Bombyx mori: one gene and its partner. The protein of the gene in region 2 purifies or fractionates together with the protein of the main gene of each other region. This does not show direct contact. Links are inferred from orthologs where the notes say so. Each region holds a gene or a part of one and is shown on either strand. Other genes may lie near its edges.

What was found. The genes of interacting proteins can lie anywhere in the genome.
Region 1: the proteins of ubiquitin conjugation factor E4 A (region 2) and UBX domain-containing protein 4 purify together in Homo sapiens (affinity purification with mass spectrometry; 3 studies listed by BioGRID and IntAct, counting the BioPlex papers as one, with this or other methods). This does not show direct contact. The link is inferred for Bombyx mori from reciprocal best matches to the Homo sapiens genes UBE4A and UBXN4.

The regions. Positions count from the first base shown.
Region 1 is NC_085108.1:1,311,324-1,316,642, forward strand, and holds the end of UBX domain-containing protein 4, read right to left. Parts: intron 5,264-5,319; coding exon 5,168-5,263; intron 4,389-5,167; coding exon 4,238-4,388; intron 3,712-4,237; coding exon 3,584-3,711; intron 2,406-3,583; coding exon 2,234-2,405; intron 1,913-2,233; coding exon 1,677-1,912; 3' UTR 404-1,676; downstream 1-403. UniProt on the Homo sapiens protein: Involved in endoplasmic reticulum-associated protein degradation (ERAD). Acts as a platform to recruit both UBQLN1 and VCP to the ER during ERAD.
Region 2 is NC_085114.1:9,638,950-9,644,268, forward strand, and holds the end of ubiquitin conjugation factor E4 A, read right to left. Parts: coding exon 5,284-5,319; intron 4,345-5,283; coding exon 4,140-4,344; intron 3,088-4,139; coding exon 2,937-3,087; 3' UTR 1,011-2,936; downstream 1-1,010.

The sequences.
Region 1 (5,319 bases), on a different chromosome or scaffold from region 2:
CCAGGACAGTTGGGCGAGCAAAGGCTTAGCATGTACATGTCTATGGGCTCCGGCAACCACTCATCATCAGTTAGGCCGTGAGCTCGTTAACACATCTAAGCAAAGCATTTTTTTTTATTGCATTAATGGGTGGACGAGTCCACAGCACACCTGGTGTTAAGTAGTTATATCGGCTGCCCTACCCTTCAAACCGAAACGCATTACTGCTTTACAGCAGAAACAGGCAGGGTAGTGGTACCTACCCGCGCGGACTCAGAAGAGGTCCACCACCAGTACCTAAATAAAGTTTATGACAATTTCGTGATTATTGACCACAAATGACGTCACGCCGTATGCTTCACATAGATTCAACTGACTTAAAAAAAAAACAAGAAATAGTGAATCGAATAAATCAAACAAAAGATTAAACTTTAAGTGTTTTAATAATACATACAACCACAAAGTCGGAAGTGCCTCTAGCTAACAGCAGAATTCACAACTTTAATGCTATAAATTTAAGGTTTACATTTATTTTCATAAAAAAAAAATACTAATCACGACAACCGATAATATGTTGTTGCTCTCAATTCCACAAAACTACAGTAAAATTACAATTTTTTGATTATTTTATTTATTTAAATATGACTTATTATATTATTATGTGATAAATATGATTTCTACAATTATTATTAACATCATTATTATGTTTCGCATAAGGAAAGAAAGAAAGAGAGAAACAAAGATAGAAAGAAAGAAGATATCTTCTCAACATCATTCTCATACCTGCGTGTGAACAACGAACAAACAGACAATTATTTAGAATAGTGATATAAACCTGGTCTGGTCTCCACAACACCATCTTATGATATTAATTAACATTGATAACAATAAATGAACAAATATTTCAGTAAAATATACATTTTAATGTCGATTTAAGAAGAATCCGATCGCGTCATTGCTTAAAATCGCTTTTGCCTTATTTTTCGTATTTTTGAGGGTAGATTTAAAATTTTGATTACCGCGATTTTTATTTTAAAAAAAAAAGCCACAGGGACAGAAAAAGGGATAGCGTTCACTAGAATAAGATCAAGATTGATTTGCCACATTCAAACTTGTATTAGTGGACATCTTTCAGCTGGGCTCCAGTCGAGATTTATCTTTGACAGAATATTAATTACAAAACTAATTGAATGTGGGATCAAAATAAGGGCAGGATTGGTCAGAGGTTGGGCCGGGGGGCGGGCCCCCCTCACCCCCCGTCCATATCAAAACATCGGGTTCAAAAGCATTGATGTTGTATACTTAAATCTTCATATAACACTCAGATGTCAGGGGGGTCGATGACCTGTGAGGACACGCAGTGATGAGGGTAGCAAATATCACCATTGGGGGCAATTAAAAAAAAATTTTGCAACCATATTAACTACTAGATATATGAGGTACAAATATTCAATTCAAATTTCAAAGTTATTACGGCTAATGTTACTGAATTTTCACCTTTATTTCAAAGACAAAAGAAGCTGTTTCACGGGCCCACACAGTCTGAGGCTATCGTAGGTCGAAGGTACCGGAATGATCAGCTTTGATGAGTGAAGGGAGCCATGATGCCGTGGAGATCACGAGCTTCAGACAAACTCTAGGATATGTTTGTGCTCGGGGGACCCTTAGTCCTGAGCACCCTTGGAAGGCGTGGTCGGTTACATCTGCTGCGTTGAGTTACCGTTCCAGGTGTTGTTGTCGTCGCTAGCCCCGGTGTCCCCGGGCAGACGGTGCACGTTCCCCCTCCGGCGCAGGCCGGGGGGCGCCGCGCGGGAGGGAGAGTGGGGATCGGGGGAGCGCGGCGCCGCCGGGGGGAACAGCCTAGATCTGATCCACTGGTAGACCTGCTGGCTCGGCTCCAGCACGAGGGTCGAGAACAGGCTCGAGAAGAATGCTGGGCAAACATTCAACACAGTTGAAAGTTTATTGGTGCTGGGACCTTTTGTGAGTACGCGCGGGTGGGTACCACCACCCTGCCTATTTCTGTCGTGAGGCAGTAATGCGTTTCGGTTTGAAGGGTGGGGCAGCCGTTGTAACTATACTGAGACCTTAGAACTTACATTTCAAGGTGGGTGGCGCATTTAAGTTGTAGATGTCTATGGGCTCCAGTAACCACTTAACACCAGGTGGGCTGTGAGCTCGTCCACCCATCTAAGCAATAAAAAAAAGCGATATAATAATTTTATTGCTTTGGTTCTTTTATTGATGCACTCACCGAGCAGCGAGGCGAAGGAGGAAGTGAGTGCGGGCGCGGGGGGTGCGGCGCGCACGGGCAGCACCAGCACGGCGCCCGACGGGACCAGCCCCTGCGCCGCCAGGGACTCCGCCCCCGCCGTCAGCTCGCGCCGCGGGAACGCCGTCCACAGCGTGAAGCTGGACGGCTGCAGCTGGGGACCAGACGTAGTCCACCTCAACCTTCACGTTCAGACCACACTGGCCACCGTCTCCAGCCGTGCGAGCATCAGGCGCACTCATCGTGACGTGCTCTCCTGCCTTTGTGACTGTCCACCGACCCAGTTTGTTGTCCCTACCTACTCTCTGGTAGCATATGAGGCTATTTCCGCTACGCGCGGGTAGGTGAGCTCACGGGCTCAACCTGAGAGAATTTGCTAAAACTAGCCCGGGAAGGATGATGGAAGAGATGCGCTCCGCACTAAACGCTTCAATTTCCCCCCTTTACCTTTTCTTGAGTTCTGCCTCATTCGGGGTTCTGACGTGGGTTGTTGAGCGATAGACCTTAGTCAGTTCGACTCCGACATGCCCCGCCCTCCATCCCCAGTGAAGGGCGGAAGTCCGGCGATTCCCTCCAGACAAAAAAAAAAAAGAAACACTAGCCCTAGCAAGAGCAGTGCTTCGCAGAATCTACCACTGAGAAATTTAATGGGCTGATTTACTCTGGGTTAATTTACTCATTGAATTCTTCGACGAGGACGGTAACCTGTTCTTGAGGGTCCTAAAAGCGCCGAGAGTGAATCCAGGGGATCCGATAAGACATGTTTCGAGCGTCGGCGGTTTGGCGTTGCCCCGTCGCGGTTCGATAAGTCCGACCGACAATGACCACTCAATCTATCTATATCTATATAAATAAAAATGATGAATTGCAATTCGTTAGTCTCGCTAAAATTCGAAAACGGCTGGATCGATTTGGCTAATTTTGGTGTTGAATTATTTGTGGAGGTCCAGAGAAGGTTTAAAATATAGATAAATATGAAAATGCTCGGAATTGAATATAAATAACAATTTTGTTTTTCCTTTGATGTGTCCTTCGTCGGACGGATTCCTTTTGTTTGTTTACTTTATACAAAAGTTTAGGTCTTTTATTTATCGATTGAGGCACTACGAGGTCTGCTGGGTCACCTAGTTAAAAATAATTTTTAATAGTGTACATGTACATATGTATATATTAGTGTGTTTATCGGTCCCCAAGGACCCCGATCCCCAAGGTCCTCGGTCCCCAAGATCCTCGATCCCCAAGGTCCCCAAAGTCCCCTGTCCCCGGTCCCCTGTCCCTGGTCCCCAGTCCCCAAGGTCCCCGACCCCCAAGGTCGTCCCCCCAGGGGCTCACCTGTGCGCTGCGGCTGACGTGCGCGCGCAGGTCCTCCACGGTGGCGTCGGCCGCGAACTGCGCCGAGTGCGAGGAGCCGTCGGGCAGCTTGAACTGCACGCGCGCCCCCGCGCCGTCCCCCCCTGCTGCTGACAACGGACCAACGTACAGATTGCGGTGCGAAAAATTACAATTTGCGTTATCACTGGTGGTTGGACCTGTCTTGTGTGTCCGCGCGGGTAGGTACCACCACCCCGCCTATTTCTGCCGTGAAGCAGTAATGCGTCTCGGTTTGAAAGGCGGGGCAGCCGTTGTAACTATACTGAAACCTAAGAACTTATATCTCAAGGTGGATGGCGCATTTACAGTACGTATTTACCAGGTGGGCTGTGAGCTCGTCCATCCATCTAAGCAATAAAAAAATATATATATTTATTGCTTAGATAGATGGATGAGCTCACAGTCCATCTGGTGCTAAATGGTTATCGGAGCCCATGGACATCTACAACGTAAATGCCGCTATGGAATGAGCTCCCCTCCACGGTGTTTCCCGAGCGCTGTGACATGTCCTTCTTCAAACGAGGCTTGCGGAGAGTATTAAGCGGTAGGCAGCGGCTTGGCTCTGCCCCTGGCATTGCTGAGGTACATGGGCGACGGTAGTTGTTCAAGACTTACTTCCCGGCAGTTGCGCGGGGGGCGCGGGCTTGGGGTCTGGGGGCGCGGGGGCGAGGTCCCGGGCGCGCCTCTCGGCCCGGTCCTGCGCTATCTGCTGCAGGATCCGCTGCCGGGCGAGCTCGTTTTCAAGCTTCTCCCGTTTCCTCTCTTCCTGTAACGAGACGAGACATTGCATCGGGAATACGAATGGCGGTTTTTTTAATACCGCCAAATCCTTCCAAGTGTTTCTATGAGGTACTCTAGAATGTTTTGAGACAAATTCGTCCCCAAGCCAGCGAAACCGATCCAAATTAATATTATAAATGCGCACGTGTGTTTGTTCACGTCGAAACGAAGTAACTGACTGACATATATATATCTATATATTAATACGCGAAGCAAAAACTTTGCATCCCTTTTTACGAAAATTGCGCAGACGGAGGAGTATGAAATTTTCCACACTTATAGAGAATATAGAGAAGGAGTGCAGCATGCTTATTATTTTTTTAAGTAATGCTAATAATACCTTAAATCAATAAAGAAAACATTACGCACACTACCATGTATTTGACACACACACATATATATACTCTTTGTTTATTGCCAAACTTTAGTTATTGCTCAAAGTCTATGGTCAAATAGAGAATAGGTTAATATTGTTTATCTTCAATATTATTTGTCTATAGTGTAGTCTTGGCGAAATCTGTGATGATAGAAGTACAATAGTCTTTGACAATAAAACCTTAATAATGTTCAAACTTATAATTTCAATTAATTATAGTCGAATTTCGACTACTGCGGGACCACTAGTTTTGTTAAAATGGCAGCTCGAGGTCAGAAGAAAGAAAAAAAGAACATTTGACTCCCACAAGACACGACGTTTTGTTATCACGTGATGTCCATGGGCTCGTAACCCCTTCACGTCGAGCGGGCCGTAAGCTCATTGCATACTTGTATCTGCTTCAGTTCCTGTTCCGCTTGCCACTTCTTGAGTTCCGTGACCCCTTTGCCGGTGGCGCGTCGTTCTATCTCCCTCTGCTTTTCGAGCTAGAAAGAGATGAAGCATTATTATTTAAAAAAAAATTGCGCATTTCCCGCGGCGA
Region 2 (5,319 bases):
CCGGATCGGAAACGCGACCCACTGAGAAGATCCGACGAGAAACTCAGTGGGCTGTGTCTGAGAGTTAATTTACTCGTCGAGCCCTTTGTCGCAAGCGACGGGTTCGACGAGAACGGTGACCGGTGCTTGAAGTACCTTGAAGTACCGTTAGTGGATCGGGAGGATCCGAGATGACGTGTTTTGGGCGACGTCGACTGCTTTCCATTCTGTCCGCAGGATCGGGAATGTAGTTACCGGCGGTCACGATGAGAGGGTTCTCATGTCGTGCCGCTTTATCGAAGTGGCGCATCGACGCCGACTGCATACACTTACTGGTGGACTCTAAGTCCAGGTCGTCATGGAGGTGTTCTTTCTTCTTTACAGGGTGAAACTCTACAAAACTTGCATACGTATGGTAATTACCTAAGCAAGTGTAGTGTTTGGTCACCGAACCCGCCCTCATATTAACTCTCTTCATGTCATCCAATGAGGAATGTAAATCTTTATGACAACCTCAAAATCGAGACTCGAGCACTAGGTACGTACCTGTGCCCGAAGACAGCATCAGAACGCCTCTTTGAAAAATCGTCGTGATATGATAACCCACTTATGTTGGCCGCCTCTAATAACCCTGCAACCAGGCAACATATAGCCACCGTCGCTCTAAGCATGTCGGTAGTTTTAGGCTCACCAAGCTTCGGTCACCGTTGTTATCGAACTTTGTCGCTGAGTTCCTTAAGCAACCTAGTCACTGGCAAACAAGTCCTAGACACAAGTCACTGAGGAAGCCCCACGAGTTTGCCTTCTAATTCGGAGAAACTGAAATAGCCCTTTGAAGCTACCGGCGTCCAGATACCTAAGCTTTTGTCAAGGCCAGCTTTACCGTCAACGTAAAACACGTGGCTCGCGTGTACATATTGATTTCTCATATATATTTAGAATTAGTAATAACCAACACTACATCGCACCTGCTCTTATTTTGGGGAACGATTAAAAAAAGTTCAAAATACCGATTAAGAAAATAAAAAATGTTATGCATTAAGAAAATTTATTTACACAGTTTCTACACACTGGAAAAAAAAAAAACATAAATAATTTAAATTCTGTCCTTTATCACAAAACAATGTACAGTAAAAAAAAAGATATCATGGATCAACATAACAAAGCTAAAGACTAGTTTCAGTATTGTTATGATGTTTTTTATTTTTATAGTTTTTGTTAATTTATATTTCCAATATTTCAACAGTATAAAATAAAATAAATTATCGATTCTGTTACAGGCGTCTATAATCATTCCTCTCTAGTATATTTTAACACATTAGTAATAGCTGACTATAATAAAAAACAAAAAAAATAGCAAAACTCATAGAATATAAACAGGGTGGAGAGAAAATATTAAATCATTAAAATCATTTGTAATTTTTAAGCAATTGAAACACTCCAAATAAAAAACAAAGAAAATAAACTGGAGTCTGTTTTTATTGTATAATAATTTTCGGATATTTTTCTATTTAAAAATTTAAACCAAGAATAACGCTGGCTAAAAAATATATATATTTATATTTGAAGGAATGTTTTATTAACTAAATATATTCTATAGATGCCACAAAACGGTGGCAAAAGGTCCGAGGTGTTCGACCAAATGCCGAATTTACTATTTGAAAAATCAAACATTTTCATTAAAAACATAAAAACAATCTTATCAACAAATGATATGTAAGAAACGGAAAAGTCTCCCTAAACTTAATATTATGTACTTATCAGAGTTTAAAATAATAACCACAAGTAAATTTTAAACAAATATTTACCATATCCTATGTATGGTACCTGAATAAAAAATAAAAATTGCTTGTATGGGTGGACGAGCTCACAGCTCACCTGGTGTTAAGTGGTTACTGGAGCCCATAGACATCACCAACGTAAACGCCGCCACTCTCCTTGAAATATGAGTTTTAAGGTCTCAGTATAGTTACAATGGCCCCGTCCCTCAAACCGAAACGCATTACTGCTTCACGGCAGAAATAGGCAGGGTGGTTGTACCTACCCGTGCGGACTCACAAGATGTCCTTTCACCAGTAATAAATCACTCTCATTTATTTATTTCAGTTACTTAGTATACAATTTAACAAAATTAAATGTAAAAATATGTTATGGACCAATTGGTATATTTAATTTATTTTTGTAAATAATATCCCTTGTGGTTTATTACAGACGTGGTGTCATGAATTCATAGAAATTTATTTATTCAACATTTTGATATAGTGCGACGTTAAAAGCCCGAATAGTAACACTACAATATAGCTAACAATTAAAAGTAATTTAACGCGTTGAACGTCATGACCGACGCCAAACAAGTAACCCACCACCATCACCAATATCAAGAATCGTCTAAAAAATCGTGGAGGTGAAAAAATTACTCAAAAATAGTGGACGACTTATGGAAACAGTGAGTACCTACTCATTATTTTCCGAGAGATGACAGATGACAGACACTGTGTCTGTCACGAGCCCCCCCTCTTCTCTCCCCCCGACCCGAGTTATTGGCGGTCACAGGATGTCCGCTGCAGTCCACTGGGCTAAAAATGGTTTTCTAGTCTGGTGTTCAACGATTAAATGAAATCGAAACTTTACGAAAGATATGAAGAAAGTACTTTAAAAAAAAAATTACGCTATTTCAAGTATAATGATTTTCTTGTGTCATAGACAACAGCGGAAACAATGCTGTGGTCTCAAGTGAGCAACGAAATCGAACACTTAGGTAATAAAAAGGTTGATTGAAAATTTTAAAGAATCATCTAGAATGAACTAAATGTATTTATTATTATTTATGTACAGTCTCACCATCAGTTAAAAAATTCAGTACTTATTCGACCTGAAATTTCGCTACTATATCTAAAACATATTTATTAATAAATTCTTAAAGTTTTATTAAAATGTACATTTAAAAGAAAACAGCCCTAATTTTTAGTGCTCGTCGATTGTGAACTATTCTTTTTGGCTTCAGCGATCCAGCTGTGTATTCTTTCTTTGAGTTCAGTGTCTGATTTTACTTGATCCATGGAGAGCGGCGACCTGTTGAATGGATCTGACTGATCACTTAAAAGATGCCTGAAAATAATATGGACAATTTTATAACTCTGATCGCTCAAACCGCATTTATGTTAAAGAAAGAATCATTAAAATCGGTTCACCTAGAAAACAAATCAACACATAAAATAACTAGTCGAATAACCTCATCCTTTTTTGAAGTTGGTTAAAAAGGCAGACCGTCCACACGCTTAATATAATGTTCAAATATCTCTTACACGTGCATTCTATGCGATGGGTGTATTGAAATCTCTCCCGAAAACGCAATCTCAAATCAGCCGATTAATAAATTCAAATTTGAAGGGTTGTCAGTAGAGCAGTACTTGTACAGCAGATGTACTTGTTTGTTTCAGGGCAGAAATACGGTGAACAATGGTACCGGTGTGGGCTCAAAATACGCTCATTAATATGTTATCAATACCAATAATAAGTTGTTTGCTTGAAGGGAACATTTTTTTGTTGTTGCTTAGGTGGGTGGACGAGCTCACAGCCCACCTGGTGTTAAGTGGTTACTGGAGCTCATAAACATCTACAGCGTAAATGCGCCACCCATCTTGAGATATGTTTTAAGGTCTCAAGTATAGTTACAACGGCTGCCCCACCCTTCACACCGAAACTCATTACTGCTTCACGGCAGACATAGGCAGGGTGGCCACCCGAGCGGACTCACAAGAGGTCCTACCACTAGTAAAATAAAAAGGGTGCGTGTACTTATACGCGCGAAAGAAGTTATATATATATATATTATTTTTTTTAATATTATGTAATTAATAATAAATATTTAACGTTAATGATTTAATAATATTTAGTATGAATTATATTAAATAATAATTTTGTCATTTATATTACTAAAAAATGAATGCTAATAACACTTTTTTTACGAGTGTACATACCCGAAAGTTCACCTGCGGCTATATTCAGACTCGCCAAGTTACGTCGGTCGTATTGTAATGAGCGACTTAGTGGGCAACTTCATTTCTGTTAATTTTGTGCCCCGGTGCGCGCGCATCGTAAAATTTCACTCTCATCAATTTTTCATAACGCGCCTAAAGAAGTATAACTTCAAAAAATACCTGGCTATTGTCGTCCTGTCGACCGTGGTCCTTGAGCTCGGAAGCACGACGGGGTCCAGCATGATGGTGCTCATGATCGGATCGAGGAACTCGTCTGGAGCGTTCGCGAGTATCTCCTCGTCTCTCTGCTTCTGTTCGGCGAGCAGTCTCACTCGCTCGGCAACCTCCCGCAGTGTGCTTATGAGAAAGCCCCCCCCGATGCGGACTGTTCACATTTTATTTGTTAGTGTAGTATGAAAAAAATGTATCGTTCAGACTTGAGGCTGAAGACTAAATCTTTAGTATGTAAAAAAAGTACTTAAAGTAGTGTATTAATAAACAAAGTAGTAAAAAAATTAAAGCGTTCTTTTTCTTAAACTAAGCTTCTACAGCCACTGTAAAATGGTCATAAATTTACCATAGGTTAGAGAAGAATCGGTACGAAATCAGGCTTTGTTCTTTTTCAGTGTAATACTCATGCGTATACATACGGCGTTTACGTCACTGATTATAAATAAAACATTACGTTACTGGGCACTAACTAAAGATACCAGAGCCAAGCCGCTGCCTACCGATTATTCATCACTGTTCCGACTGGAGCTTAATTCCAAATAGGGCAACGTCACTCAAATAGCAGCTGACCGTATAATACGGCTTTTATAGCATTTATAATAAAAAAATTACCGTGTGACAACCCTAAGAGATTACTGAACCGAACCGAAGAGGGCCGAACCTCACTAAAAACCCCTGCCGCTCACAGCCGGCGCCCTATCCCGAACCGAGCCGCAGCCCAGTCGGGGCCATTGAGGCGGTAGGACAGGGTCGACGCAAAGCATATTACATTTTTACTGGTGGTAGGACCTCTTGTGAGTCCGCGCGGGTAGGTACCACCACCCCGCCTATTTCTGCCGTGAAGCGGTAATGCGTTTCGGTTTGAAGGGTCGGGCAGCTGTTGTAACTAAGCTTGAGACCTTAGAACTCATATCTCAAGGTGGGTGGCGCATTTACGTTGTAGATGCCTATGGGCTCCAGTAACCATTTAACACCAGGTGGGCTGTGAGCTCGTCCGTCCCATCCAAGCAATAAAAAAAATCATCCAAGAAGTTTACTAGTATTTTTTTTTTTAGTTTATGGCTTGGTTTCTAGACCTTTAGGCCAAGGTTACCTAGTACAGTTTCAGCGAGGGTGAACAGTTGCGGCG